Linked DNA regions of Mus musculus: all the other regions are reported to be linked to region 1. The links are microRNA targets in miRTarBase. Many come from high-throughput screens and were not tested one by one. Region 1 holds a microRNA gene; each other region holds the end of a gene's coding sequence.
What was found. The annotated mature microRNA mmu-miR-467f reads AUAUACACACACACACCUACA and lies in region 1 at 1,102-1,122, opposite strand. An mRNA with a match to its seed (bases 2 to 7 or 8) in the 3' UTR can be bound and repressed. Matches are read on the target gene's strand: a 7mer-m8 pairs with bases 2 to 8, a 7mer-A1 pairs with bases 2 to 7 and ends in A, and an 8mer does both.

Region 2: the mRNA of Fbxl17 is a reported target of mmu-miR-467f. The part of its 3' UTR that is shown has no 7-base or 8-base seed match.
Region 3: the mRNA of Trmt61a is a reported target of mmu-miR-467f. The part of its 3' UTR that is shown has no 7-base or 8-base seed match.
Region 4: the mRNA of Mfsd14a is a reported target of mmu-miR-467f. Seed matches in the 3' UTR shown: 7mer-m8 at 2,524-2,530.
Region 5: miRTarBase lists Kcng3 as a target of mmu-miR-467f. The part of its 3' UTR that is shown has no 7-base or 8-base seed match.
Region 6: the mRNA of Zfp516 is a reported target of mmu-miR-467f. Seed matches in the 3' UTR shown: 7mer-m8 at 1,784-1,790.
Region 7: the mRNA of Wbp1l is a reported target of mmu-miR-467f. The part of its 3' UTR that is shown has no 7-base or 8-base seed match.

The regions. Positions count from the first base shown.
Region 1 is chr11:69,634,318-69,637,317 of GRCm38, forward strand. It overlaps Mir467f (microRNA 467f), which reads right to left and starts at 1,202; the gene lies at 1,083-1,202. The region is part of intron 1 of Fxr2 (fragile X mental retardation, autosomal homolog 2); the gene reads left to right.
Region 2 is chr17:63,056,796-63,061,390 of GRCm38, reverse strand. It overlaps Fbxl17 (F-box and leucine-rich repeat protein 17), which reads left to right. Exons shown (of 9, transcript NM_015794.1): 9 at 980-4,595. The coding sequence ends at 1,120. Among named protein-coding and RNA genes, the nearest start is that of Gm34324, 19 kb to the right of the region's middle.
Region 3 is chr12:111,681,456-111,686,050 of GRCm38, reverse strand. Trmt61a (tRNA methyltransferase 61A) reads right to left here. Exons shown (of 4, transcript NM_001099793.1): 4 at 2,149-3,456. The coding sequence ends at 3,182. Among named protein-coding and RNA genes, the nearest start is that of Trmt61a, 5.6 kb to the right of the region's middle.
Region 4 is chr3:116,628,850-116,633,444 of GRCm38, forward strand. It overlaps Mfsd14a (major facilitator superfamily domain containing 14A), which reads right to left. Exons shown (of 12, transcript NM_008246.2): 12 at 2,315-3,631. The coding sequence ends at 3,425. Sass6 (SAS-6 centriolar assembly protein) reads left to right here. Exons shown (of 17, transcript NM_028349.3): 17 at 1-2,137. Among named protein-coding and RNA genes, the nearest start is that of Trmt13, 17 kb to the left of the region's middle.
Region 5 is chr17:83,584,179-83,588,773 of GRCm38, forward strand. Kcng3 (potassium voltage-gated channel, subfamily G, member 3) reads right to left here. Exons shown (of 2, transcript NM_153512.1): 2 at 1,779-4,201. The coding sequence ends at 3,556. Among named protein-coding and RNA genes, the nearest start is that of Gm34801, 19 kb to the left of the region's middle.
Region 6 is chr18:83,000,331-83,004,925 of GRCm38, reverse strand. Zfp516 (zinc finger protein 516) reads right to left here. Exons shown (of 6, transcript NM_183033.2): 6 at 1-3,653. The coding sequence ends at 3,594. Among named protein-coding and RNA genes, the nearest start is that of Gm41795, 8.6 kb to the left of the region's middle.
Region 7 is chr19:46,653,391-46,657,985 of GRCm38, forward strand. Wbp1l (WW domain binding protein 1 like) reads left to right here. Exons shown (of 5, transcript NM_001177812.1): 5 at 575-3,999. The coding sequence ends at 1,329. Among named protein-coding and RNA genes, the nearest start is that of Gm36602, 10 kb to the right of the region's middle.

The DNA.
Region 1 (3,000 bases):
ACAAGATCCCCTCCCTGGCTGCACTTGAACTCTTCCTCAGCCTAGGATTACAGCTCTGGCGTTACTGGTTGAGCCACCATGCCAGACCAGACTTTTGTTTTTTCCTTCTTTCTATCCACCACCCACCCCATCTTCTGTATCTGTCCTGAGTCTATTCTGGATCCCACGCCCCAGATATTTTCTTCTTCTGATCAGTGGGGTTCTGAACATCTTTTGACTTTTATGAGTGGAATTGTCCCGGACACGTTTGGTCCCTCTCTTACTCTTCATCCTGGAGAGAAAGAGGAATTTCCATAGCATGAGATGGGTGAGAAGAGCCCCTTTTTCTTCAGGTTTCCTCAGGTTGTCTGTCCCCCTACCCTAGTAGAACTTCTACTTTCTTATGCCCTTGGAAATAACTTTCTCTGACTCTACTATGAAATTGTATCTTTTTTGTAGCTGAAAAAAGACTTAGGTTTGCCCTACCCCTGTAGATGGTTCCTACCCTCACTTCAACTGATATGCTAGTTATCCATTATAAAGGCCAGGCCATTTTTTTCCCTTTTCTGATCAAGTTCTTTACCCAGTGCCTATGGGTGCACATACCTATTAGCTTTAATGCAGCTTCTCAACTAAGTCTCGGTCTTTTTAGCTTGGTATTTCTGTATTCCTGTGTATCCTTGATGATGTCTACCTGTCTAGTCTGTGTATAGCTGAAGAAGGCTCCTAGCTGATTCTGTCACTTTCCTAACTCTTGGTACTTTTTCTTCAGACCAGAACAGTGTCTCTAACATTTCTGTTTTCTGTAGCAAAAGTCTTTAATTCTTTTGGCTTCTGAGAGGACACATTAATGTTTTAATATCTATTTCACCCACATTTGTATTACCTTTGTTAAAACAGTCTCCTCAGGCTGGGTATGGTGGTACATACTCTAACCCTAGTACTTAGAAGGCTAAAGTAGGATTGTTGAAGTTCAAAACCAGCATGGGGAATGGAATCCAGTCTAAAACAACCCAAACAAACCCAAAAAGTACTCTTTATTATGCTCTCTTTTCCTCGATATGTTAGTCTTCATCTGTATCCTTCTAACATCAAAATGTTAAAAATTCCAAAAAAGCTGTGTGTAGGTGTGTGTGTGTATATACATACATACACACACACACACCTACACACACACCCACCCCCGTTCGATTTCTGGGTACAGGATTTCTCTATGTAGCCGTGGCTGCCCTGAACTCAAACTCTGTGGGATAGGTCTGCCTTTGTTGAGTGCTGGGATTAAAAGCATCCACAACTACTCTTAGTTTGAAAAGTGGTTCTTAAATTGAGTATGAGATCAAGATAAGATATTTGCATTTGGTTTAAGGAAGCTCAGGAGCCATGCACAGCTGGGACAGATGAGTGCTCAGTTCCAATTAACTGTATGACATGGTTGGGCTGGGACATGAATTCTGTTACACATATGGGTATCCAACAGAAAGTCTCTCTTTTATCCTTTTATTCTGTGGGCCAGAGCAGTGATAGATTTGAGGGAAGCAGGGACAGGATTCTTTGATAGTATAGAGTTAATAAAAGCCAAATATTGAGTGTAGATTTTGTATTCTGGCCACTTCAGCACTTTCTGCTCCATGACTGAGTTAAAGACATTGCCTAAGTGTAATGTAGATACTTACCTATTCAAACCTTGCTGATTAATATTTATGACTCAGCAAACTTTGGTGTGAGTAAGGGATACTAACTTTTTAGATCTTTTACGTTTGGGGAGATTCTTTTCTCCTCTCACAAAACTGTTTTACTGTGATTTTTCTAGAGCCAGTAAATATCAGATCTGAGGTCTAAGTTATTTTAGAATTATCCTATCAAACTTGGCTTTTCTGTCAGGATGTGATGTGTTTTGTTAAGGTGGTTTCAGGTGGCTTGGGCTTTTAACCCGGGATGACCTTGGACTCCTGGTTTACTGTGGCCTTTCCTAAGACCTGGGATTACAGGTGCACACCATCAACCCCAGCTTCATAATGTGTTTTGTTTTGTTTTTGTTTGTTTTTTGAAACAAGGTTTTTCTGTGTAGCCCTGGCTGTCCTGTAACTCATTCTGTAGACCAGGCTAGCCTCAAACTCAGAAACCCGCCTGCCTCTGTCTTTTGTTGTTTTTTTTTGGGGTGGGGGGCAGGATATCCTGTGTTGCCCTGGAACTCACTCTGTAGGCTAGGCTGGCCTTGGAAGGTTTAGGCCACCACCAACCTGTTAAGATGGGGTCTTATTGTATAGCCTTGCTTTGTTGATAAGGCTAACCTTGAACTTGAGGTCTCATCTTAGCCTTCCACTGAAGTACATCCTCAGCCAGGTAGCCCTCCTCCGATCTCTTCCTTCTTTCTTCCTTTCCCTTTCCCTTCCTCCCTTCTTTCATTTTTAAAAACATTTCTCCCCATATAGAGACAGGATTTTTATACTTTGATAGCTCAGGTTACTCTGAAACTTAGCACGTAGCCTAAGCTGACCTCCAATTCTTAGACCCTCCTGCCTCAGGCTCCCCCCAAACAGCCAAAGCAGGTCGTATCTGAAGCAATATTCAGGGTTAGATGTTCTCATTATAAGGAAAGAATAGTTTTGTAAGTGGTGACTGGCCAGGTCTGTGAGGTGGGAACTCTGTATTCTCTAGAATATTATTGGTACATTTTCTCCTAAGCTCTGCCACTATCCTAGTTACTGTACTTAGGGCTGGTCCTTGAATATTGTTAGCCTTTTTTTTGAAGCATCTGGCTTTCTTACTGCTTTTGATGTTGAGGATTGAAATCAGGGCTTTATACTTGCTAGGCACACATCACACGGAACTATATTCTAGCCAAACCCCCCTTATCTAATCTATCTAGTGTTTTTTTTTTTTTTTTTTTTTTTTTCTTCCAGAATAGGGTTTCTCTGTAGCCCTGGCTGTCCTGGAACTCACTCTGTAGACCATGCTGGCTTGGTTAGAGATCTGCCTGCCTCTGCGTGTTGGGATTAAAAAAACCACCACCTGGCAGCT
Region 2 (4,595 bases), not on the chromosome of region 1:
TTTTTTAAAGGTGGTGCTGTTGGTTTTCAATAATGAACATTAAGAGGGATGCTTAAAAATGTCTACCACAAATACCTTCGTTCAGCCTTAACTCAGTATAGCTTACACAGTACAAATAAAATATTGATGTATTCAAAAATGCCCAAGTGTTCAATAAAGATTTTAAGTAAAGCTACCTATAAGTTGTGGTTCTTAGGTTAATCATTTATTTATCTAAAGGATGAAGGAAGCTGTCTATCTCTGTGATATGAACGGCAATCAGCTTAAAAATAATTGACAAATTAATCCCTTCACAGCACAGCAATTGTAAAGGTGTTAGTTTTAATTAGGCCTGTCTGATTGCCTTGTCTAATCGGGAATCAAGGTGGACTCTTTGATGGCTAAGGTCTGCTGGGGCCATCCCTGACCTGCCAGCCATGTATGCTTTAATTATTGATTCCTCGAATTTCAGCCCTTCTCACACAGGGCCTGAGGTTTGCAATGTCTTAACATTTAAAGGGAAGAAAAATAAACATTTTCCTTTGCACTTCTATCTAGAATCCTGTGTATCTCCACCCCCACCCCCACCCCAATGTACAGTGTCCAGCCTAAAAAGGCTTTTCCATGGGTGAAGAAGTCAGAGATACAGGAGATGCTCCTACTGCGTTCTTCCTCCCATTTTCTGTGTTCTTAATGGGCATTACTGCGATCTTGGTAAATCCCAGTCATTTAGTCATTTATGTTTAGCAGGTACATTTGATTTCATGACATCATGTTTAATTAAAAATCCATACGGGCAGTGCAATTCTAGAGTATCAGAGAAGTCAGACCAGAGGAAAAATGCACGCGCTCAGCAAATCCTTGGTCATGTTGCTAAGTGGAAAGGAAAGGGAGAGCTGTTGTTCCCTGGCACGTCGCATGCCCCACAGCACCCCTGTGAGCACAGGCTGCATGGTGTTGGTGGCCCCTGTGTCTGATGATGACTCTTCTCTGCTCACAGGTCAATGAATTGACAGTGGAGCAGCTGGTGCAGCAGTACCCGCACATCACCTTCAGCACCGTTCTGCAGGACTGCAAGAGGACCTTGGAGAGAGCCTACCAGATGGGCTGGACCCCCAATATGTCCGCTGCCACCTCCTAACTCTCTTCCTATGCCCAGGTCTACTCAGGCCGGTTCAGCAGAATGGAGAAATGGGGGGCTCCAATAGGGGGTCTTTCGGAAAGGTTTTAACCGTCACCTGTCAGTGTGTGTACCCGAGTGTTCCGTTTGTGTCTTGTTTGCATTCTGCATAGCATAAGCGCACTGTTACTTACCCCAAGGTGAGCTGGCTTGTTTTCCCTAAAACAGAAGATTATGAAAACCAGGACCTTTTTGTTTTTTGTTTTGTTTTCCAATTCAAACGTCTATTTCTCTAAAAAGACTTTGTGGAATCTCAAGTCAGAAAACTGGTTGTATAGTTTTGAGCTTTTAAGTTCTGACACATCTCGGAAATGCTCGCAGAAAGGCTTTGTTCGGTGATAGGTAGGCTACTTGTACGCTTCTGAGAAGACCAAAACAGAAGTGATGTTGCTCTAACTAGAAGCCTGGAGACTAGAACCCCTCAAAATCCTGGAGTACACAGCTAAAGTTCCACTCTCTTGTACTGTCATACACACATGCTAGGTCAGGTTCTCGCTTGGTAAATTCTTTCCTGCCAGAGGAACCTTCCTGGGTCATGAAGAGAGCATGCCTTCCACTGTGGCTATGCCTAACGTACTGTGCCCAGTGGTGGACAACTTGCTGTCTTATAGGTAACTTAGGAAGTAGACTGAATAAAGCCTTTTGTAAATTTGTATATGGAGGCAACAGTCTGATGTCCCCTGGCCAGCTCACAAAAGTTAATTATTCATTATTCTGTAAATGCATTCTGTTAAGTAATAAATATTTTAGTTGGTTTTGCATTAACACTGTGTTCGCTTTTACTGTGTGGACAGTTACTGGTCAAGATGCATTTTAGTGACATTTGGGGCTAATCTTGGCATTATTCACATTGAAGCCATGAATGTAATTAATGGTGTGCAGTTATTTTAAAAATTTTACAGATCATTTCATTATTTTGGTAATTATGAAAATATATTCTGAGGTGGGGTAGTTATTGATAGAAGATTAATGAATGAGATGTATGTAGACAATCTTCCTATTGTATTTTTTTCCTTTGCTTTGGGATTGAGAACAGGTTTTTTGAATATATGCATGTTATAATTTTAAATAGTTCTTACACTACTGCAAAGATCTACTGTTAGCTAACGTATGAGCTAAGGAGAGAATTTAGAAAATCTGTTCATTAAGATTCTGTTTACACTTGCCAGAAATACATATTTTAGTTTAATTAAGTATTACCAGCTTTTACTTCTGTCAGTACCTATCAGGAAAGGAGTGTAAGTTTTGATGTCACACATTTCTACAGTCAGCCGTTGCAGGGACTCAGGCTCAGATGACCTCTCCTATGTCTGGATTTATAAGCAGGCAGCAGGGAGCCTTTTTAAGCTAAAGAGTGATTATCTTTCGTAGTAGGAAAAGCAAAACCTTGACTTTTGAACTTGCTATTTATTCTCCCTGTATGTGGTCTTTGGTCTTTAACAATTATAATGAGGTTTGAGTTTGTTTCCTATAAATCCCAGCCCTGCGGAAGCAATGCTAGCTGTAGGAGGCAGAAGCTGCCTTCCATTTGCACACCATGCACGTGTGTGTAACAACTCCTTCTCTGTAGAAAAGGTTTGTTTCCCTCCAGTTTGTCAACATGCTTCTGATGTGGCAGTTTATTGTTTTAATCCCAATCAGTTAAAAAACAAAAAGTACCTTTTTCATAACCAAATAGGAGATTTTATGTGACATATGTATTATTACATCATTACCATAGGAACCAAAGTCTAGTCCCATGGATGTTATTTCCTCTTCCATTTTAATTGAGTCATGAACATGTACCAAAACCAGCTGGCAATATGACAGTCATTGCGACTGAAGGGTCAGTTGGAGTCAGGCCTACTATGACTATCGGTAAATAGGAGGTTTTTCCTCTTGGGCACTATGCTTAGAAGATTAACTCAGCTCTCCTGCGGGATGTTTAATACACGCATTGCCGCTACATGGGACTCTTCAGTCACCAAAACGCAGCCATCTGCAGGAACATATTCCCAAACTAAAACCATATCTAAGATCCTTCAGCGCCCAGTCCTGTGATCTCCCTTGGCTAATAACGAACTGTAAGGATGCCAGCAGCTCATGAAGAAAGGGAGACTTCCAAAAGAGCCTGCGTTGTTTGATTCAGCTGTTTTATTCACAACAGGATGGAAGAGACAGTCATGCATTTCTGAAAGTTTTTCCACAGTTTGGCATCACTTGAAAGATCTGGAGATGAGAAGCATTGATGGAAAGTGGCCCGAGGACACAGGGCAGGCTGATGCTCGCTCACTAACTCTTCTGTAGCCTGAGATCTCCTCAGCCTGTGCCTTGTGCATGCATGCGCGCCCACATGCCCAAATGCACCATTCAGCCAGAAAAGATGACTACAGAACGCAGTCTGTTCAACTTTGTGATTAATATAATAGAAGATGGAAAAACGAGTCACTAAATAAAGACTTGTTAAACCTAACAGTCTCACAAATAGATGCTGCCCAAGTAAGTCTGCGTGGCTCCAGACAATGGTGATTTTTTTTTAAAAAAGGAAGACATTATACCAAATGAATGTAGACTGCCCAGAAATCTTGATTTTTGTTGACAAGAAATGTTTTTGCTGTATTTCTAAGCAGCATCTTGCAATGGAGTCACTTACTAATGGGTGGGGTTAAAAACATCTTGCTAATTATATTCAAATGAAGTCTTTATTATACTGTTTCTTCAATTCTAAATAAAAAAAAATGGATTACAATACAGGCTTCATGGATGTAGGGAGACAAATACTGAGAGGCACTCTTGGAGATAACAAATAATTGAGCTGAATGTGAAAATTAAGCCACCAGCACCTTCATTCCTAGATAAGACAGATGACTGGATCTGCTCTAAAGCAAACCATAAATCTGGAAGAAAGCTTGCCTTGGAGTAAATTTGTACAAATGAATATATAGGCCACTCCAACTCCCTTTCTTCATGGTTACTGTTGCATTTACCACCCCACTTTTCCTTCAGCTTCACTCCTGAGTCAGCCAGAAGCTAGAGCCAGTGAGACGCTGGCAGATGACCTCACACACAGGCTTTGCAAGGTCAAAGGTAGCGGTGCCAGGGAAATATAATGAACCAATATCCTTGAAACAATAACATTTTGAAACATTTTGCCTTGAAAGAAAAGTAAGTGTGTGTGTGCGTGTGTGTGTGTGTGTGTGTGTGTGTGTGTGAGAGAGAGAGATTGCATTTGTGTGTGAATGTGAGTGTGTGTATGTGTATGTGTCTGTGCATGAATATATGTATGTGTGTGCATGCATGCATATGTACTTGCATGCATATATATGTGTGTGTGCATGTATTTGTATGATTGTGTGTATGAGTGCATATGTACATGCATTTTTATATGTGTGGGAGAGATGTATGTGCATGCATGTGTACATGTGTGTGTGCACACGTTTGTGAGTGTGTATGTGTC
Region 3 (4,595 bases), not on the chromosome of region 1:
AGTCCCTGGCAGCCTGCCTGTCCCAGGATGAAGGCTAGGCTGAGGCAGAAAGAGGCAACTGTGCAATGGTCAGGAGGGGAGAAGAGGACACAGCTTCAAGGTCAAGTTCCAAGAGACCTAGACAATGTAAGAGGCAGAGGTGTCCCTAGCCACCCTTGTACTACCCATTCTTCACCCAGAGACACAATACTAGATCCCAATGCCCTTGCTGGAAAACCCTCAAACACAGGGCAGCATATTTTGAGGCCTGGGCACAGCTCACAGGCGGCTCGGAGGAAGTCTGTCTGAGGAAGCTGATCACCCTGGCCCAGGAGCCTTCCAGCAGGTGAACCAGGGTCTGCACCTAGAGGTGCATTCAGGGCTTCCCGGGGCTTGGCGCTGCAGAGCAGACTCTTGCCAAGGAGGCTGAGAGGTGTGCTGCTGTCCTGGTCACAATGCAGGTTGTGACCCAGGAAAATATCTAAGGGAAAACTGAGGGCCAGTGACAGGAGTCAGGCTGGAAGGGGAGTTTCCAGGATCTTGCCCCATGATGAGTCCCGAGCCTCTGAGTCAGGTGCACCCAGGATCAGTTAACTGAACTCAACAACCATGGCTTCAGGGCTACTTTAGGAGCCAGGCTCAGTCTGAAGGACCTGGGGACCTAGCCTCTCCTTTGCCCTGGGGGCTCCTGCTGAGGTAACTAACCCTCAGCAGATCAGTGCAGGGTACAGAGGATGGCTGAGCTGAAGGCTCCTGTCTGAGAGTGGGCAGCAGTCTGGGAAAGCAGTCAAGAGGAGATGGTTTAGCCAGGCAGACAGCAGATCTGAGTTCAAGGCTAGCCAGAGTTTTGGTTTTTCGAAACAGGGTTTCTCTGTGTAGCCCTGGCTGTCCTGGAACTCACTCTGTAGACCAGGCTGGCCTCGAACTCAGAAATCCACCTGCTTCTGCCTCCCTAGTGCTGGGATTAAAGGCGTGGGCCATCACTGCTCGGCTAGCTTTTTTTTTTTTTTAAGGCTAGCCAGTTTTATAGATCAAGTTCCTGGTCAGTCAGGACTACACAGAGAATACCCCACCTCAAAAACTAACTAATGAAGGAGTGAACGAATAAAGAGGATGGGGCTGGAGAGGTGGCTCAGCGGTTAAGAGCACTGGCTGCTCTGCCAGAGGTCCTGAGTTCAATTCCCAGCAACCATATGGTGGCTCACAACCATCTGTAATAAGATCTGAAGCCCTCTTCTGGTGTGTCTGAAGACAGCTATTGAGTACTCACATGGAATAGATGAATATTAAAAAAAAAAAAAAAAGAATAAGGAGGATGATTTGAGCAGAGCTGTAGAGACACAAAGGCTTGCAGGTAAGTCCAGGGCCAGGTGGCCCTCCAGCTGTGGTTGGACTTAGAGGTAAACTAGGGTTGGATAGACTCTCCAAGGCTGAGACTATGAAAGCTAGAATTTGGTTATCCCAAGGGACAGTAAGTAGATTGTTTTTTTTCCAGACTTGGCCAGGGTCCCTTCTGCAGGACATCTAGCCAGTGAGACCCATATGGAAGACATAACCTGGGCCTTCCTGGCTATACGGCCCGTGTGTCCCACAACTGAGCAAGCTCTGTCCCACAGTAATGCTGTCCCTTGACCTTTACCTGTTGGCCAGAAGCCCTTCCCCAAGGACAGAGAGCCAGGATTGCTCAGGCCAGGCCAGGTAGCAGGGTGCCCAGATCATCCACTTACAACCCTTTGCAGGTCCTGGTACTGAAGGCACCCACTCTATGTTGCACATGCGTGGGGCCTCACCTCAGTCCTTTAGGCTAGGCATGTTAGAGCTGAGAGCAAGTCCTGGAGGGAGGGTAAGCCCTGGAACAGGGTTGGTGGTCCTAGGGAGCCGGAACAGCTCTGAGGGCACACGACCTCTAGGACCTCCAGTTGCCATTACACTGAGAACAGACAGCCTGGGAAGCCAACCCCAGGAACTCAAGTTAGGTTCTCATAGGAATGTGGGAAGGAGCCCAGGACATGCCTTTGTGAAGAGTCCTGTGGTGTTGTTCTAGAGGTCAGAAACGCCATAGTACCTACTGAGGGCAGAGAGAAAAGGACAGAAGTCAGGAAGGCACGTGTGGAGCAGCGGGCCTGGGCCACTGCTGAAGGACAGCCCTTGTGGGAACAAGACAATAAGCACAGTGGGGAAAATATTTATTATCCTTTGGGTGCCCTCGGGTATGACATATGACAGTAGGACACTGGTGAGTCTCGCGATGGCTGCTTCCACGCAGCAGCAGCAGCTGACTGGCAGCCTCACACCAAGATGATCTGAGCACCGAGCACTGAAACTCCCTTGAAGCTAGCCACATACCGAGAATGGACACCAGGCCAAGGTGACACATGTGGCAAGTCCACAGCCAGGCTCTTAGCCCATGCACAGGCTCCTCTATGATCCGCTTTGACCCCAGCTCCAACAAGGACTGGAAGGTCACGGAAGCAGGGACCAATCCTGCTGTGTTCTATCCCTCAGGATGATGCCTAACCCCAGATGACAGCACACCAGCACACCAGGAACTCCACACACACACACACACACACACACACACACACACACACACACACACACACACACACACACACACACACACGGTCGTGCTGACACACACGTGGCCTGTGCAGCACATGATTATTGATTATCATCACCTCCTTTGTTCCTGGGCCAGCCTGGTCCCTCCATCAGCCTTAGGGAAGTATAGGGAGAGGAGGGCAGGGCTGGGCTTTCTGGTTAATTTAGCTCAACCACAGCTTCTGGCTAAGCTCTGGAGCACCAGGGCCTGGAGACTTGCGCCAGGGATGGGACAACCCACGCTCCCGTAGGTCAGCCCAGGCTATAGGCAGTGCCCAAAGCTTCCGACGCCCTCAACTTTTACCATTTAGTCTCAAAACCCAGGAAGGACTATGGAGAGGAAAGACTCATGTTGACAACAAAGAGCCAGGACAGAGCTTGCGCTGAGCAGTGATGAAGTGGAGACTTCCCTCTCAGAAGACAGGAATGCCTCCCAGCTGAGCAGGGCCAGCCTACTCACCCCCCTCAGCCACCCAGGAGGCCCCTGCCCCACCCCGCCCCCATCTCTTTCTAAACACAAGCCACGAGGGCAGTGGCTGACCATATAAGGCAGCCTCTGGCCTCCCTGCCTGCTTGCCTGTGCTGTTCATTTGGAGGCCTGCTAGCCTGGGGTTTTAGTGGCAAAAGTCAGGTAGCCAGTGTGGCCCACAGTCTCCTTCATGGGTGTGCCACTACGGAAGGGGCTGGCATCAGAGCCCATGTTGGTCTCTAAGTTGTTGGCCCCCAGGTCGGGCAAGGGCAGACTGACAGTGCGCACATTGTAGACCTGTGGCAGTACCTCCAGGGTGCTAAGCTCTGTGAAGCCATGGGCTGCCAGCGCCTGGCATGTCCGCTGCACCTGCTCAATGCACGGAGAGAAGGAGCAGAAACGCCCACCTGCAGGAGCAAGACAGGGGTCAGAGGGTAGTGTAGTGGCATCCACAACCCACCCTGGACCTGAGGCTGGCTCAAGACTGACTGCAGACTGTAAGCCCTCAGACCAAGTCGCAATGCAAGGGCCTCGGGAAGCTATACATTTTTGCCCTACCTGCTGGGCCACCCTTGGGCAGAAGTCCGGGTCAGTAGCGAGGCCCAAGACTGAGATGCCCAGGTCTCCCTGCCAGTAGGCATCATCATCCTGCCTTGTAGGAGGCAGTGGAGGGCTGGGGGGTGGGGGGGTCAGGGCTGTCAGAGCCAGTCCCAAGAATAGCTCTAACAATAGGGCAACATGGGGCGGTGTGTGGGTTGCTGCTGTCACAGAAAATTAGAGGCTGTCGTTGGCTCTTGGGAACAGGAGGAGCCTACAGCAAGCACATTTGGAGCTCCTCCCTGCTGCCTCCCACGGGGGCAGCTTACAGGCTTTACTCAGCCTGCCCCCAAACTATGAAAGTGCCCATGAGCAAGCCACGGCAGAGATGCAGTGTGTACACAAGTCCCTAGGCCTGGGACCCAGAGCGCTCCCTGACACAGGGATGAGACAGGATAGAGTCCGCTGTCACTAAACAGCAAATCACACCATATACTCCTTGCCAGAGGCCACTAGAGATAGAGCGTGTTACAAAACACCAAGCCTACAAAAAAAAACAAAACAAAACAAAACAGAAAAACACCTCACACTGAAGGACCCAGAGAATGAAGATCTGGGGAAGAGCCCAGGAGAGGCAGACATGGGTCATGGGACCAAAACAAGGCAGAGGTGCCTCTGACTACTTTGTAAGGAGGCGCCCCTGCCTGGCTTGGCCCTTACCAAGGCTGGACTGACCCTGCATCAGGGAACTTCAGGTGGAGACCTCCAGGCTTCCCCTTAGGCCACCTCAGCAGACAGCAGGGACACAGAGGTCTGCACAGGACCTGAGGCAGCTAGAGAGCCTGGGCTCCTGCCTGTCAGAGCCTCCCCCGCCCTTGGTACAGAGTGGGGTGGAGAGCAGCCCTGGTTGCCAAGCCTGTTTCTTCTCCAGAAAAGGCGAAATCCCCAGGCCTCAGCAGCGGCTTTTCTGGCTCGCGGCCGACCTTCTCCTGGCTTTCCCATCACCCCG
Region 4 (4,595 bases), not on the chromosome of region 1:
ATTCAAGTGATTTAACAGACTATTGATAACAAAATCAATTTTTTTCTGGTTCCTGTTAGGTCATTTGGATCCTTTATAATACTGCTGCCATTTACAAATTTAGGAAATTGATAAGGATGCTGAGTAAATGGTATTTTTTTTTCTGTGAACAAAACAGAATGTTTCAAAAAGTCACTGGATTGTATCAGATTCTTACCAGTTGGTCTGCTTAGGGACACTTTATCAAGATACACCTGCAGGGAATATAAACTGAAGACTTGTGATTCATTCGATCATTTTTATTGTAAAAAAAAAAAAATCTTAATCTGCCACCTGAGAGCTGGGAGAGCTTCCACCTGTGACCATTGAGCCTTACATTGACTTTACATTCAGTTCTCATACAACTTTCAAAGTTTTTTTTTTTTTTTTTTTTTTGAGACAGGGTCTATTATTATGTAGTTCAAGCTGTCCTGGAACTGGCTATGTATGTAGACCAGGCTGGCCTCAAACCCAGATCCACCTGCCTCTGTGTCCCAAGACCTAGGACTAAAGCTGTGTACCCACCAAGCCTGAGTTACACAATATATTTGGTTTATAATTTCTCCTCCCAGATGGTCTCCAGTTTCCTACCCACCCAATTTTATGTTCTTTCTCCCTTAAAAAAGAAAATAAAAATAACCAATCAGTAAGATAAAAATATCAAACCAGCCGGGCAGTGGTGGCGCACGCCTTTAATCCCAGCACTCGGGAGGCAGAGGCAGGCGGATTTCTGAGTTGGAGGCCAGCCTGGTCTACAGAGTGAGTTCCAGGACAGCCAGGGCTGTACAGAGAGACCCTGTCTCGAACCCCCTTCCCCCCCCCCAAAAAAAAAATCAAACCCAAAACAGTGTATTCGACCTTGTGCTAGTCAAGTCCTGGGTATGGGCATTTGGAGTTTGGTTGATGTACCTAGTGACACTCTTAAGGATTTTGAGTGAAATTAAGTATTCATAGTGAGTAAATCATTTTCTCTGAAATAATTTTTATATAAAAATCATTGGGACAGTGTATTTACATGACTGAAGTGCTTTAGTCATCTGGGCATTCCATAAAGATCATCAGTGTAATAACACCATAAAAGTTCATGGGACTTTTTATAATATTAAAATTTGTCATCAGTGTTAATAAAGCAGGAGGAGAGTTAACTATTGGAAATTACAACTTCCTCACTATTAAAAACTTCCAAGAACTATTCCTTTGAAATTAAGTAGTTTTAAAAAACAAAATGAAACAAAAAACCAAAAACAACCCTCTATAATCTTAGAGGTCTAATTTTGTTTTCTTGTTGACAACCACCCAAAGGAAATTAAAATTCCAAGACCCCAAAAATCTTATCTGTAAAATGTTAACAATCATGTGATATTTTAAGTTTCAAGGGGCTGAAGAGATGGCTTAGTGATGATCGGCACTAGCTACTCTTTTCAGAGGATGTGGGTTCTAATCCCAGCACCCACATGACAGCTCACAATTTTGTCACCCAGAGTGCATCAGGCATGCATGTGGTTTCTAGGCAAAACATTTATACACATTTTTTTTCAAGTACTTTACACTGTTGCAGACATTTTGAGACAGTGACGTAGAATCTTTAGCCTCACTTTCAGGATGATGGCTATTGCTAGCTGTCTTCAACGAGGGCTGTTATCACAGTTCAGTGATGGGAAGAATATTGCTATAACTACTTGAAAGCACTTATTCTGGAAAGAAGTCTCTCTATGCAGCACAGGACTGTTGTAAATACTATAGAATAAACCTAAGAGCTATGGCAGCCTTTGGAAAGGGATACAAGACATATATAGCTTTTTAGAAGAGATACCCTCCCCTTACTATTTATAAACCTGTTTCCACGATAGGACAGCTCATTTCCACGCAGGGTGTTGGTGACCTGTCTCTGTGCTAAGTGTCCACACACACAGATAGCGCCAACTCTCTGCTCTACCTCTTCTGCTTTTGTCTGAAATTGTTTTGTGTTGTATAACTGTACATGTGTTAACCATCAGAATGTTGCTTTTTGCTATTTCTGAAAGCTGTGACCTTTGTCAATAAAGCACTGAGGCTTGAGCGTTTTATATGCAAGAAGCATGTTTAGGAAATAAAAGACTAACTGTGCTTAGGAAATCAAGCATTTCCGGTTGACCTACACACTTCGTTATTTTTATCTTCAGGCTTTTTGTTTTGTTTTTGGTGAGGTGAGGTGAGGGCAGCAAATGGATTGCAGAAGGTAAGTTAAGGTAAGAGGATTTGTTACTGTAACAAAGCCTAAACCGGCCTTACAGGGAGGGACTCACAGATCAAGACCTTTTTAAAAAGAAAAAAATCATTAAAATATTTAATTTTATTAACAGAATATTTACATTTGAGACCTTATTTAATCATAGTGAATGCTCCAAGTTTAAAAAGCATTAGGCAGTAACCACACACAAGATGAAAACAGTGTAAACTATACAATACTTTATGTACATTTTTACAAAGTAACACTTTTTTAAATAATATAACTGGACACAAAAATATACACTTTAGAGAAATTCACATCAGTAATTGTATAAAGCTCTCTTCTAGGGTCCTGAAAATTTAGGACAAACATTAGCTCTGTAAATAAAGTGTTACTGTGACAGTCCTGAAAGGCCACTATATATATTTATCTACATATAGATATCACATTGACATTTTCAAGGCTACCAGCTTTACTATATAATTTTTAGATTATGTATTCAAGTGTTGAGGTCCTTATGATTATGCAAATATCAAAAGAATAGTGGTATAAGAAGCAGAACAGATTTAAACAGATTGAGCCAGATGGCTAGGCTCTGACCACCCCAATTTGAATTCTAAGTGGCTGATCTTTTCATTCTTCAGAACAGCCGTGAATAATGCTTTAAATAAAATTATGGCAAACAAGCTTGAAACATGATTCTGGTTTTCTACAATTTTCACAAGTTCTTTTAAATGCAAACAATTCTTTACCATTTCTTTTCTAGTGCATCTGCATTAAGGCTTTGAATTATTTGACCCAAGATTTTACAATGACTCAGGTTTTACAAGGTTAAAGCAAACAGGTCCATAACCATCCTGCCTAGTGTCGCTGAGTCAGCACGAGCAGGTAAAGGCTCAACACCTAAGGAAATGGCAGAGACGGAGTTACAGATAGAGCTTTAATTAAAGATGTGTAATAAAACAGTTTAGTGGCAAGAGAGTGGTGCTAATATAAACAAAAGGTTTCTTTTTGAAAGAAAGTGTAACATCTTTGGAAAACTGTCCGGTTCTTTCTTTAGTTCCCACGGAGTTCATGCAAGTATTTCTTAAGACAGTCTTAAAGTACACTGCAGATGGAAATGGAATGTACATCCAGAGCTACAGGTGAAAACTAAGACCTGGGTGCTGCGAGAGAGAGAAGTCTTCCTGATTTCCGTCACACATTCGTGTCCTGGAGTAAAGGTTCTTTGGCCTCTCCTGGCGCTTGTGTACTGTGAGGATGGCTGTGACTGCCACAGTGCTTCCTCCAACTGCTGGACCTTAAACTTAAATTAGTGTGTTCCGGAATAAACAAGGCAACGAGCAGAGCCAGCAGTACCGAACAGGCTCCAAAGAGGAAAGGGGGACCAGGGATGATGGAATTCTGAGGAAGAAACAATAGTTAATGTTTTTTGCACAAATACTCCCCCCAGCCCCCGTCCCCAGCCTCCAATGTCTCAGCAACTGTCTGCTCAGATTTTCTTTTTTTTTTTTTAAAGTCAATGCCTTTATTGAAGCAATAGCTATAAAATCACTTTTCAGGAGAAAAGGTATTTTTATTCTTATTGTAAAATCCTGCCAACAAAAAAATGGCAAAGTGGGCTGGAAAGATAGTTCAGTGGTTAAGAGCGCTGACTGCTCTTCCAGAGGTCCTGAGTTCAATTACAGGCAACCACATGGTGGCTAACAACCATCTGTAATGGGATCTGATGCCCTCTTCTGGTGTGTCTGAGGACAACAATGTGTACTCAAACCTTTAAAAACAAAAATCAAAAACTGGCAAAGTAACTTGGATAACTGTGGGTGGCTTTTAGCACAGAGCCTAAACTACACATGTTAATAATACACCTGTAGAATCGTGTTTCAAAAATAAATACAATGCCACTAACCACAAAAATAAAACATTTTAGCCCAAATCATATTCATTGTGGGCAAAACCCTACAGAAACCCTGTTTCTGTTGTATATGGCCCACAAAATTAAATAGGCTTGCCTGGGGTTCAATTCTTGCTTAATCGAGAAAACTGCAGAGATGTTAGTATTGGCTCAGTGGTCCATGTGGTTTGGGGTTGGTAATTTCAGTTGGGAAATAAAGCAAGCAAGTCAACAAATGTCCACCGTGCGTACATTCCATGTGGCCATAGATGGCAGCTGCCCAGCACTCCAGAAGTCAGAAGGAAAGAAAGTAGCAGGGTGGAATGGAGATGTGGCTGCCATGCCATTAGGCACAAATTGACAAAATGTGGTTTCAGGTGATTTTTTCATTTTAGTTTTTGCAAGATGATACTCGGGAAGAATAGTCTCTTAGGCTTTAGTTATTTTTTTTTTTAAGATTTATTCATTATTATA
Region 5 (4,595 bases), not on the chromosome of region 1:
CTATCCTATTTCCACGCTGCAGGATCACAGAGATGTAAGCAAGACATGTGCCCAAAGATTTAGAAGGGCTGATGAGATGGCTCTGCAGGTAAAAGGTGAAAGATTTAGAAGGGCTGATGAGATGGCTCTGCAGGTAAAAGGTGATGGTTTCCAAGCCATATGGACTGAGTTCAATCCCAGAAACCACCTGGTGTATGCAGTGGGTTGCCCTCTGACCTCGACACACATACAAGCATGCACACACGCACACATGTATGCATATGCACACGTGTACTATAAACACATAAAATAAATAAATGTACTTTAAAAAAAGAATATTTTGACATACCGACAGCTACTATGAATGAATCGATTTTAACATTTTAAAATAAGAATTTGCAAATGTGCAATCACATGTAACCCCAAGAATAAACAGACGTGTGTAAACCAGCAACTCAATAACAGTAATAAAAAAAATAAATCAATAAAGGGGGTTTGGGGAGCATTGGGCATGGTGGCACATGCCTTTAATCCCAGTATTTGGGAGGCAGAGAAAGGTGGATCTCTGAGTTCAAGGCCAGTCTGGTATCTAGAGCAGGTCCAGGACAGCCAGGGATACACTGAGAACTCCTGTCTCAAACAACAAAAAAAAAAAGAATTTATTAAGTTATACACTCAGTTTTACAAATGCTCTCTAACTTTGTTTCCCTATCTTCCTACTCTCTTGTTTCAGAGAATACGAATCAAGTCATGTGTAAGAGGAAGGGATCAGATTCGCTCAAACAAAGTACACTCAAAAGAAAGATTCGGGCGTCCTTCCCTCTTCGGTGTTCTGAGGATAGCTGGCTCCCTGGGGTGGGGGTGGGAGAGCATTTCTGCCATGAAGACCAGAGTGTGAAGACTGATAAAGTGCATCTCAGAAGGAGGCTCCACCTCAGCAATTTAAAAAGTATCATTTCTGTGGGGTGTGTGTGTGTGTGTGTGTGTGTGTGTGTGTGTGCTATCTGTGTAAAAGTGCCGTGCAGAAGCTCACAGAGACCAGAAGAGGGCATCAGATCCCCAGGGTCTGGAGTTCTCAACAGTTGTGAGCTAACATGTGGGTGATGAGAACTAACTCCAGTGTTCTACAAGAACTGGAAGTGCTCTTAAACACTGAGCCATCTGTCCTAGGGTTTTGTTTTTTAGAGCAGCTGGGTGTTGTAACTTGTATCTGTAATTCTAGCACTTGGGAGGCACGAGGCAGGAGGAGTGTCACAAGTTTACGGTCAGCTTTATCTACACAGCAGAGACCCTTAACAAACAAACAAACACAACACCAAAATAAGCAAATATATACAATGAAATGAAATTAGTAACATTCAGAGAAAGCTGGAAAAAAAAAAAAAAAGTCTGCTCCTAGGAAGCTCCAGCATCCTAAAGGACAAAACACGCTGTTGTATTTTCTCATTTACAAACGAACCCGTTCATCATGTCTCATCCCCTTGTTTACAGGACGCTCACTGCTGTTACCAACACCCAAGATGCTTCTCAATGAAAGCCAGCCCCCATGAACAGACCAGCATCATCACTTGCTACCTCAAAGCAACTCAGAGCTCGCGTGGCTTCCCACGTGTGGCTCTCCATGCGCACGTTCACACGTGTCTGTCTCCTCGTCTACCTCAGGCCCCTCTGTAACGGACACTGTGAGGACCTGGTGACCTGTGTGTGCCCTCGAGGGTCCCAGCTCAGTGGAGTACTAAGTTGCTTGGAGATGGAATCCATATTCACATGGAGAGTCTCTCAGTGCCAGAAAAATTAAAGGCTACCATATCCTTACTAATAATATAGATGAGCTATCATTTGCATACGATTTGCATAAATCACAAAGCTTAAAAATAAATAACACCAGGCCATATGTTCAGTTAAAATGAAACAAAAAGTATATATAAATAACAATCTAGTGTGTAAAACTATACCAGTGAAGGTACTAGGAAAAAAATGGTGAGGTTTTTATTTTTAATGGGCAGTATCACATGAATTTGCTATTATTGCCTGATCATGGCAACGAGAATGAAATGTGGCCTATGCTAGTTTCTGCCAAAGCTAGAGGCGTGTGCAGAGCAAACTGCTGGGCCTGCTTAAAGGAGGCTAAGTTTCCAGCGCCAACTGCACAGTCACCGCACGCTCTCGTGCCTTGGTTTTTCTACCCGTAATGATAAAAGCTGGACTGATGGCTAAGATTCCTTTAATGGACACTTCTGGCGAGTCTTTCTTTGAAAAGGTTATCCCAGTCCCTAACCCGTTCCCTTCAACCCTGATAACCACAGTGCGTATACTAAAGTGTTCATGAATCAGTAACTCTGATGTGTGTGTGTGTGTGGGGGGGTGTTCAAGTGTTATTATGACTTATTGAAAAAGCAATATTTTCATTCATACTGCAGAAACGTAGCAGTGAACAGCCAGCACTTTTGCACACCAGCACTCTGGACGGAGTAGCAGTGTCTGATAACTTTACAAAAAGAGACCCAGTGTATCCGTGCTTCACAATGGTGAGGAGTCAGGCCAGAGAACTACATCTGCCCTGCTTAGCAACACCGGACCAAGACAACAACATTTCTCCTTTTACAACAGCCTAGTGACAGCGCGTAAGTATGGCTGTTGTGCCGACAAAAAGCTCAAGAAGTATCGTCTCTTCTTTACGAGCCTTGTGGTTCTAAAGAAGAAGAGCTTCAGCCGAGAACTCCGGGTCGAACCCTGAAATATCACAGCACTTCTCTCGTCATTTCATGTTAGCAATGCTCCTGGCAATCTGAATGCTAGGACTCTGAGTCACGGCAACTGACTCTAAATCACCCAACAGAGCGCTAAACAACACAAGGTCTCTCCGTGATATCATGTACTCTTTGGAAGTTATTTCAGTAAAGTGGGGGCCTAACTGGAAAGAGAAAACACACTTCAGGGTCCATAAAGTTGTAAGATAAGAGAAGTGACAGGTGTAAAAATTAAGCCAAGGGTAGGCTAGAGAAGGGTGCAAAGCTTTTCAAATAATATTTTTGCTTGCCTCTAGTTCCGCAATACAGTTTAAATTTGGGCCAACTTTTTAAAGTATTTGTTAAACAGTTCCCACATGTGGCATATGTTTCCAGGATACTTCTGACATTGATATGAGAAATTATAAAACATTTAGAAACGAAAATGTTAGTCTCAAAAATAACACTGTTAAGTTCCAAGCTTCTTCTGAATTCGTTAAGATGGAAAAGCATTTGGAAAATAGTGTCTTTCTGCTTTAAAGTGTTCAAATAATGTGCTTAAGAACAGCCTACAACATCGTAACTGTGCGAGGCAAGGTGGAGGGAGACGAGAGGGAATAAAACCAGGTCCTAGCATCTCCTCTGGTGCTACTGTCCTGTGTGTCCCGGTCCCGGTCCTGCCTACTCCGTAAGTAAACCGCTTTAACCCTTGAGTTGGGAAGAATCATGTCACCCTTCCAACAGGAGGACAACACCATTGCAGTGCTCACCCAGGGAGAAACACGCGAAGAAGAACTAGTGTCAACTCGACCAGATGAAGTGTGCACAAGGACTGGTTTGCAACACGTTAATTCAGGAACTCAGCTGAGAGGCTCCTACTATATCTAGCCGATCTAAACTTGAGCTCGTGGTAGCACTGCACAAAGCTATGGTAGATGAAAGTGATGGGTAATGCCAACAGAACAATCCCACTGACAACACAAACTCCTCCAAGAATTCTTCCAGGCACCGTGATAGGATACATATCTCCATAGCCAACTGTAGTCATAGAGATAATCACCCACCAGCAGGCAGCGGGGATGCTGGCGAAATCCTTGTTGGATGTTTCCAGGTCCAGCCCATGTTCAAGGAGCTGAGAGAGTGCACTAAAGATTGCCATGGCAACACAGATGAAGACAAGTAACATAGCCATCTCTCGGTAGCATCGCTTGAGAGTCAAGCCCAGTGTCTGCAGACCAATGAAGTGCCGGGCAAGCTTGATCACCCAGAAGATCCGCATCATTCGGAGGACCCTCAAGGTGACCCCAGCCCTCTGGAGTTGAGAGTTCTCGCCTGTAAACACTGTCATTAGCACAGAGATGTAATAGGGCGTGATTGCCAGTAAGTCAATGATGTTCAGGGGTCTCTTGACAAACTCACACTTGTTTTTGGAGACGATGAACCGCACGATGCACTCCGCGGTGAACCACCCTATGCAGATAGCTTCAATTATCCTGTCAAGAGAACAAAGAGGAGGATTGATCATTTTATTTTTAAGCATTTTAATAGCTCTTTGGATTCTTCAGATAGTACTACACTGACATATTAATTCAGTCACAGTTCCAGAAAACATGAAGAACAGACAGTGTTAACATCACCAGAGCCACCAGGACGCAACGGGACAATAAGGACTCATGTTAAGGTGGTAACTGAATCCCAAAAGGGTCTTAAACATTAGCCTATATGAGATACTGTTAAATATGAGTAGCCCCCTCCCCTCAAAACTGTCCTATTTAGTGGTGTGAATTTAGCTCAAGCTGATCTAACCACAAAGTAAGGTTTCACATATTCTTTGAGGACAGTGGTTCCCAACCATGAGTTTACAGTGGAGGGTGGGACAGAAGGGTT
Region 6 (4,595 bases), not on the chromosome of region 1:
GAAAACCTTGTCTGTGGGGCATGCTTGGTTTTTTTTTTTTTCAGTGAACAAAAGTTGCAATTTGAAGTTGCCTGATTTATAAGCATTAAAACAACAAAACTCGTTCTTCGGGTGCTGACAGGCAGGTGTCTCATCTTACAGGTCCTTCCTGGGGGACTGCAGGCACTGTTTGACCTGGAAGACACCCTCATCCACCCAGACAGGTGTCAACTCGACTGGTTCCCAGGAGGTGAAAAGGTCACTGCTGCCAGCCCTGTGATGCCCACGGTGGAACTGGTCACCTGTGGAGCATAAATGGAGAGCGACTCCAGTCCCAGCTGCAGAGAAGCCGTGGTGTGCACACAGCAGCCAAGGGGAAGGGGCATCCCTACAGCCCGCTGGGACAGCAGAGCTCTTTTACGTTGAAAGAGTTGCCTTGTGCCGCCTGGAACACCTTACTTCCAGAAACCAGTGTCTTCCTGGACTTAAAAAAATAAATAAGCAAATATTGGAGAAACTTTTTAAAATATCTAATACTTTTTAGAACCAAAAAGGCAAAGTCCACTTGACTTGGAAATTGTACTACGCGGGAGAGGCTAAACTGTCTCCACCTAAGACTGCATAGACTTCAAGAACCAGCAGAAGTGTGGAAAGGAGCAGTGAGCAACTCCCCAGAGGAGAAGAGTCCACAATGTATTTATTGTTCGTGAAGTTAAACCTTCATTCTGGGAATTAAGAATGAGTGAATCACCTGAAGTATTTGAGAAACTCTGTGTAATGTGTACTTGAAAGGAGGAAAAGCGTAAGAGAAGACACGTCACACAGTGAAGCAGGGGATGGTGGGGGCTGGGCTGGTGTGAGCCAGAGAGCGAGGCAGGAGTCAGAAGAGGGCAGCTGGAGAGGGCAGGGGACACACAGAGTGAGCGGCTGCAGTGTAGACAACCAAACCCTTTATTGTCTAAGTTACATTAGACGCAACACTGTAAAAACCCCGTCAGGAAACAAGGAGACAGAAGATGCAGAGAGGTAGGTAGGAGGTCCGTAACAGTCAGAGATGTGGAAATCACCACAGGAGGAGGGGCAAAGCAAAACAGATTGGCTAAATAAATAAGGAAACACAAATCATATTAAATACTATTGTTGAGCTGACATAGACAAATTAACAAACCAGTCCAATACTGATGGCCAGCGGGACAGAGAGACCATGCAGCAGGCCAGCACACAGCTGGTCCCAGGAGTGAGCGCTGGGGACCTCATGGCCTTGTGGCTACAGGAAAATTGTGCCTCTCTGTGCTTGGAGGGGCAGGTCATCCTGAGACTGGCTGCTCTCCAGGCAGGCAGACGGACCTCAGGCACCCGTCTTTCCCCGCCAGACCCTGGGAAGGAGACTCATGGGACAGACAGACCTTCCAGTTCTCAATGCCAAGTGCAGCCTCAGACACAGGAAAAACACAGACGACACCTTCGTGTCCCTTTGTGTACAGAACTGTTTAATAACTAAAACACAGAAATAGATGGGCCGAATCACAGGCTCTGACATTCCTAACTCTCACCTTCACTCTCAGCCAAGGGAACAAAAAGCCAGAGAGCGCAGAAATGATGGGGAACCTAGCAAAAAGAACAAACGCCGTCAACAGAAAGGTACTACGCTGCCTCAGGCGGAGAGAGGAATGTATCTCTACGACCTGCTCCTGCTCCAAGTAACGCCTCAGAATGATGGCTATTCCCAAGCGCTCCGACACGGCAAGCCGCTCTCATACAAACCTGCTGTAGGAGTATCAGGAAAAGTAAGTAAAAAAAATTATATACACACACACACACACACATATATATATATATATGTATATATGTGTGTATATATATATGTATATATATATATATATCTGCTAGCCAGTTAACATTGCATTGCTTGCAAGTGCAGCAGTCACCTGAACGGTCAAGTAATTAAAACAGTAACAAATAGAACCTGGAATCAAACATTAACTAACAATAACAACAACAATAATAATAATAATAATATAATAATAATAATAACAATCCAACAGATCATTAGAACAGAGAACCACGCGCCAGGGTTCGTGTATACATGTGTGTTTAAACAAGTCTTTGTATCAGAAGCCCATTTCCTACAAAAACCGCGCTGATCCATTACCGGGTTAAGTAAACTGTCGCTCTCACCAGTATTAAAGGTTAGGATAATTTCTGTACATGTAAAATTATTGCTTTTTTTTTTGAAAAATATATTTAGCATGCTCGTCTTAATCCATTTCCTGCCTTTACAAAATTTCACAATAAAAAAAAACTAGTAAAGCTTTTGCAAAAAATTTCACAGAACGTTTTCATTCAAGGCAGCGGTAATTCGTGATAATGCATAAAATCATATGTGCAAACATCTGGAACTTGCAGAAGTATCGCCATCACACACAGTGTCACAGCAACGGGGAAAGGAATCGCTGCTACCTGCGGAATACAGTTCCGACTGCGCACGTCGCGTGGGTTCGCAGCCTCTGCTCGGGCCTTCACCCCACCGCAGAAACGTGAACTTGCGTGACTAAGGAAGAGGTATATAAAGCCGTCTTCACCCTCAGGCCTGGCGACCCCCATTAATCTGTGAACAAAGTCACTCATCCGGTGGTGCTCACCAGGCCCAACGGGGAAAGACATCTATTTGCTGGGGTGGTGCAGGGGAAAGGGGGTGGGAGGAGGAGAGAGAAGGCTCCAGAGCACTAGCACCCTAAGGGTCTAGGGCCCCCAATCTGCTCAAGGGTTCCTCTGACATCACCAAAACAGGCCCAAATTGGGAGGACTCAGCGGTACTCTGTTAAGACATGGAGTCGCCTTCCGTGAGCAGTTTGCAGAATGTAGCCCTGTTACAAAAAAGGTCCTGAGAATAAAAAAGACACCTGCTCCTCTTAGTGTTCAACTAATGTTTCTTTCCCAAAGCAGATTTATATGTGTTCCCACCTCTGCAGTGTTTCCTGAGCCAGACGCAGCCCGGACGGTGAGGACGCAGCATGGCGGGGCATAAGCAGCTCAGAGGGTCAAGGCCAGACTCCAACCGTGAGGAGCTATCTCATTGCCCTGCCTCACCAAGCTCCTCTCCACAGCACTCGAACACCACCTGAACACCCCTCTGTCTCACCTTCTACTTTAAGTCCCCACTGAGGCGGCGGGGAGAGGCGGTAGTGCAGCCCCCTCCGCTCCCCACATCCTGACAGCATCATCTCTGTCCTACGCACTGGACCTCCCCACAGTGCTGTCCACTTCTTCCAAACACACCAGTATCTTTTTTCCAGTGTCTCATGCCTGTCTTGAGTAATCCAGACTCCTTGAGCTCCCACTGTGCCTGCCAATGCCACTGCTTATCCCGAGGAGACACAGGCCATGGGTGATGAGCACATACATGTGTGTGAAAGAGCTACACGGAATTCTAGGCATAGCATCTTTGCTGTCCCTGGGTCTGCTCTACCGCAATGGCCCCCGAGTCTGACGTATCAGGTCAGGAGGCCCTGGATCTTCTTCCCCAAAGCGGCCATGGTCACTGCTGGAGCCTTCCAGCCGCCCGTGAGGCCACAGTCAACACTGTCACGGGGCCGGGCGCTGGAGGTGTGTCTCTAGATCCCCTTTCGGAGGGGCCCTGCTGGCACAGTCCCTGGGGTAGTATGGTCTCTCCCCTGCAAAAGAAAGAAAATAACAGGCAAGTTCAGTTGGCTTCTAGTCTCAAGGCATTTGCCCTATTCATTTTCTTAGCAACACCCAGAGACAAAAGGTGCAACGAAGCCCTCTGATTCAGGGCGGCTCGGTTTATTCCAGCATCGAGGGATTTGCTTTCACTGCCTTCACAGGAACAGCTCAAAAAACCATCCTCGGGGCTCAGAAAGCATTGCAGGCTCCGGAGAGCAAATAGCAATGGTAGGCTTGGCTCTGCTCAGAGGCTAAAAAGCAGCCAAACAGGAAGAATGGGGGTTTGAAGAGCACAGGTCTGGGGTACAGAGCAGACTCGGGTGAACATTATTCCTAAGGGCAAAGCTGGATTCACATAAACAGAACAGCCCCTGGCACCCACATCCATCTGAGGGAATCTGAGAGTGCTTCCCTCCATTTTCCCAAACAGGTCCCACACGGAAGAAGTGGAAGAGCTGTGCGTTAAGTCATGTGAGCTGTAGAGTATTGCTGAGTGACAGGGTGCACTGGTGTTTGAACAATGTCGTCTCCCAGCTGAGGACAAAACAACGTGCCAGGATGAATCTCTCCTAACACCATCAACCTAGCTAAAATCCTATAGAAATGAAACCAACATGCATTCATAAGCCACACAGCCCATAGGAGACTCTAGTCTCCAGCTAGGTCTATGGGAACCCTAGGAACACACGGGAAGGGAAGCTGGTTGGCATGGTGAATTTAATGTTTCTCTTTAGTTTCAGAAAAGTATTAAAAGCTGGTCTCACACACAATGCCTACTGGTTAACACACAGCATAAATCAGAAATATTCTTAAAGAATGTGTCTGAGAGGCAGTGCTGCCAGTGGCTGGTCTGAAGGACTGGAAGCGGCATTTAAAGAAGTAACAAACTCAGGCAGATGGTGACCCTCCTGGTACAGACCAGGAGAGATGTC
Region 7 (4,595 bases), not on the chromosome of region 1:
CAGATAAGAAGGGTAGTGTCTGGACTGTCTGAGAACCAAGAAACTTGGTGACTTAGTGGAAATCCGTACACTGGAATTCCCTCCCCTGTCCTCTCAGGAGATCCAGGGATGCCCAACCAGGCATCTCGTCTTAAGCCATCTGTCACATTGTACAGATTGTGATGTGACAAGCGTTTGCCCTTCCCTAGCTGGAAGGCTTTGTAGTAAATGCTCAATAAACGTTAGCAGCTGCTGCACAGCTCTAAGCGAGGTGATCCGCCCCAAGGTACTGAGCGCATGCAGTCAGGAGGGGTCTCACCTGGCATGTTTTCAGTGAACCTTGGTGTCACAGGCTCCTCACTCCTCCTTGACTGGTGATCAAAGCTCACCACAGCATGAGGAACTGTGTTGAGGGCTCACAGCATAAGGAAGGTTGAGAACCGCTGCTCTAAGCTGTTGCAGTCCCCTTACCTGCCCACAGCTAAGAAGCATAGCCACCATGGCTCTGGGGTGGGAGGGGACAGTGTCACCTTTCATGAGCTTTGTTAGAGTGCTGACCCATGTGGTAATTTCTTCTCCCACCTGCCTGTTTTAGGGTTTTTGCCAAACTCTTTGCTACCTCCTTATGAGGAAGTGGTGAACCGACCTCCAACTCCTCCCCCACCGTACAGTGCCTTCCAGCTCCAACAGCAGCAGCAGCTGCTGCCACCTCCTCCTCAGGGTGGCCCTCCAGGTGGCAGCCCCCCAGGCGCTGACCCGCCGCCCCAGGGCTCCCAGGGAGCGCAGAGCAGTCCTTTGTCCGGACCGAGCCGAAGCAGCACAAGACCTCCAAGTGTCGCAGATCCTCAGTCCCCTGAAGTGCCCACTGACCGGGAAGCCACCAAAGCCTCTGGGACGGAGTCTGGTAGCCCCATGGCCGGCCACGGGGAGCTGGACCCGGGCGCCTTCCTGGACCAGGATTCCGAGTGCAAGGAGGAGCTACTGAAAGATTCGCGTTCTGAGCGTGGCGGCGTGTCCCCTGACAGTGAAGACAAGACCCCCGGCAGGCATCGCCGCTTCACAGGTGACTCAGGCATTGAGGTGTGTGTGTGCAACCGGGGCCACCATGACGATGACCTCAAAGAGTTTAACACGCTCATAGATGATGCTCTGGACGGGCCCCTGGACTTCTGTGACAGCTGTCATGTACGGCCTCCTGTTGATGAAGAGGAAGGTCTCTGCCTGTCCTCGGAGGGTCAGGCTCGGGAGCATGGGCACCCCCACCTGCCACGGCCGCCTGCGTGTCTGCTGCTAAACACCATCAATGAGCAGGACTCTCCAAATTCCCAGCACAGTGGCTCCCCGAGCTAGGACACGCCCTGCCTGCACCTAGGAGCTCAACGACAACCAGGGTCAGGGACACCCACGAGAGAAGCATTAAGTAACATGGACATGTGGCCCGGCCACTTTGTCCTCTTATATTTTTTCCCCCTCCTATCCCACCTTGCCCACATCTCCAGGTACAAATTCAGGGTGTGGATGCCTCCTCTCCCCACAAAAGCACAGTGTTCTAGAAGACGGAGAAGCTGCTTCTGTGACTCCCGCACCCCCCTTTCAGAGCTGTGTCCCACCTACCTGCCTGGCTGAGAAACACAAGTTTGCAAAGCCCCCCCGAGGACTGGGGCTGGACTGTGCCCTAAGGTGGTGCTCAGCGGTGACAGAGTGGATTCACGAGAGAACCGTGTCTCAGTCTAGGAGACACCACTTCTCAGAGAGAAGAAGAAAACCCTCAGAGGCCAGTGGATTGTCACTGTGGCTGCCAGTGGCTGCAGAGCACTGGTCTAACCCTGTGGGAGGGTGACAGCTAGTCAGGGTGGTGAGGGACTTGCTGAGCTGACAAGGCCCAGGCAGAAAGTACACATCTGTGCGTTGTAGAGGGGACCCTTCCCAGCCTGGTTCAGGTGTAGATGATACTACGTTCTCTGGGTTTTCCTTTAAAAACAAGCAACAAAGGCTGGCAGGAAACAGCCAGACCAGTGGGCAGGCAGGGACTCTTTGTTACAAGGGAATTCTGCTGCTTCTCCCCAGGCTGAGTTCCCAAGAGTCTGACTACCATTGGGCCAGGAGGAGAGAGCCTGAACAGGCCCGGTGGTGGGAGCCTTGGGCCTTCTGTTGAGTGGAGACCCAAGTCTGAAGGCTGGGAGAGCTAAGAGCTTCCTTCAGTTCCGCCCTTTGTCCGTGCCCACAGGTGGTCAGTGGTCCTCGCCCCTCCTGAACACAGCCTGCGGTCTCTGTCTCCCTGTCCTCTGTAAGCAGATGGACTGAGGAAGTTGTGTGTTCAGGGCAAGGTGGCCTCATAGCCTGGTTCTCACACAGTATTTCCTGTTGCGTTTGACTTAAGTCTGTTGTTTTGTGTCCTTGTTTGTTTTAAACTGACCACTTAGAAGGAGCGCCTTGGTTACCTGTGGTTCTCGTGGCTGCTCTGCCCCAGCCTTGTGGAGAAACATGACTCACTTTCCTGTACAGCCTGTGTAAAAGAGTCACCTGGGTAGGAGGTGACCACTGCCTCCAGCAGACCTCGGGGCCTGGTTACTGTCGTCTGGCTCCGGAGACCCGGTCATGCTTTGTCAGGAAAGAGGAGCAGAGACGCCGCTGAGAGGAACATTCCCCACCCAGCCCTGCTCATGCAAAGAGTTTGGTTCCTACCCTGCTCTTGAACGATGATGCATAGACTAGACTTGGCGCCACCATTATGGTGAGAAAGGAATAAAAAGGCAGAAAACCCAAGTCCACATGTAAACACACAGACCCGAGGCTGTAAGGTGAACGCGTGTCTGCATTTGGATACCACAAACCAAAATCTTTGTCGAACAAAAGTGAAGTCTACACAGTGATGTTGGATGGCGTGTGTGTGTGTGTGTGTGTGTGTGTGTGTGTGTGTGTGTGTGTGTGTGTGTGTGGTATGTGTGGTATGTGTGGTACGTGTGGTATGTGGCCCCGAGCCCTGTGTTTTCTGTGAAGATACTTTGAATGGCCATTCTGCTCACACATTAACCACATGCCTGGAGCACGTATGGCCCTCTCAAAGTAATTTATTTTACACATTTACTGTTTACCGAACAATAGTCTGACCGTACTCGGGTGTATGCAGCGATCTCCCCGACGGCATGGCCTGTGTTTGCCAGCGACACTGCCCTTCAGAGAGGCTGCTTCCTCAGCTCACCACTGCGATTTGCACACTGCTCCATGGGCACTCAGAGGCCTCCATTCTGTTCCCTGTGCGTGGAAACATCCGGACCCAGCCCCCCTCCCGCTGGCTTCAGACAGGAGCTTGATTGGGTCTTGAGTTACAAGCATGAAGTGGTTGTGGCCCAGACATCGGCCTGTCCTGGATCAACAGGAGTCTCTGGCCACATGCACAGCTCATCCCCCAAGATCCAGAGAGAGAGAGAGAGGGCTGGTGTGTGGTCAGAGGGGCCCGAGCTGCAGCCCTCCTGCACTTCCCAGCTGATAGCTTGTTAAAATCCCAGACACCTCACTGCAGTGTCTCAGAGGAGAGTTCAGTTTCCCAAAATGAACCCCTCGTTAGTTAACTGTTGGTGAGATGGGACCCTCTCAAGTTTTGTTCCCCTGGCAGAGTGAGGGGCTGGCCTGAGTGCCGACTAGCTTTACTGAAGCACCCACCATGATGCCCGAGCCACAGTCTGGCCCTGCTGCTGTAGGCCACCCTGATGCTCAGAGAGAGGACAGGAAAAGTGAGTTAGAGGCCAGGGAGACTTGACTGAGTTGGGTTTCTAGGTAGGAAGGGTTAGGCAGAGGGCTTGGTGCTACGGTCAGATTTGCAGCCGCTAACACATTCCTGTGTGAGGCCACCACCGTCTGCCAGTTATTGTGAATATGTGTATTTTAAGCAATAAGATTCAGTTGCTCAGACTGCCCTGAGCGGTCTGGGTGACGATATCCTGTGATTGTCCGGAAGACAGAGTGGCTCCAACCACTGTGAGAAACCCCAATAAAATCAGTCTCAAGTGTTCTACACAATCTCCTGCCGCTCCTTGTTCCCTTTCCTTCCTTCTCAGACTTTCAGGTCACAAACCTCAAGCACCTTTGCCTTCTCCCTACCAAGACCTAATGGTGTCACACAGCAGTTAAGAACGGGGTCCTGGGCCAGCAGGAGGCTGCTGCTGAGTCAGCACTTGGTCCTGAGGAATTTCCCTCAAAATCCATTTCTATTAAGTACTTTGTGATATTCCAGAAATACATTGGAAAAGGAAAAAAAAAAAAAGGCCCCAGGAAGCAGAGACAAGTTTGTTTGTTTGTTTGTTTTTTTACCCCTCCCAGTTTCCCCAAATCAGGATTGGTTTTAGAGCTTTTTAAATTTTTTATTTTTTTTTTTATTTTTTTATTATTAGTGTGGGTGTTTTTGCCTGCATGTGACTGTGTAACATGTGCATGCAGTACTCATGAGGGCCAGCAGAGGGCATCATCTGGAACTGAAGTTACAGAGAGCTATCATGTGGGTGCTGGGGATTGAACCCAGGTCCTCTGCAAAAACAAGTGCTCTGGCCCCGATTTTAGGAACTTTTCAGATAGGGTCTCACTCTAGCCCTGACTTTCCAGGAACTTAACTAGCCCTA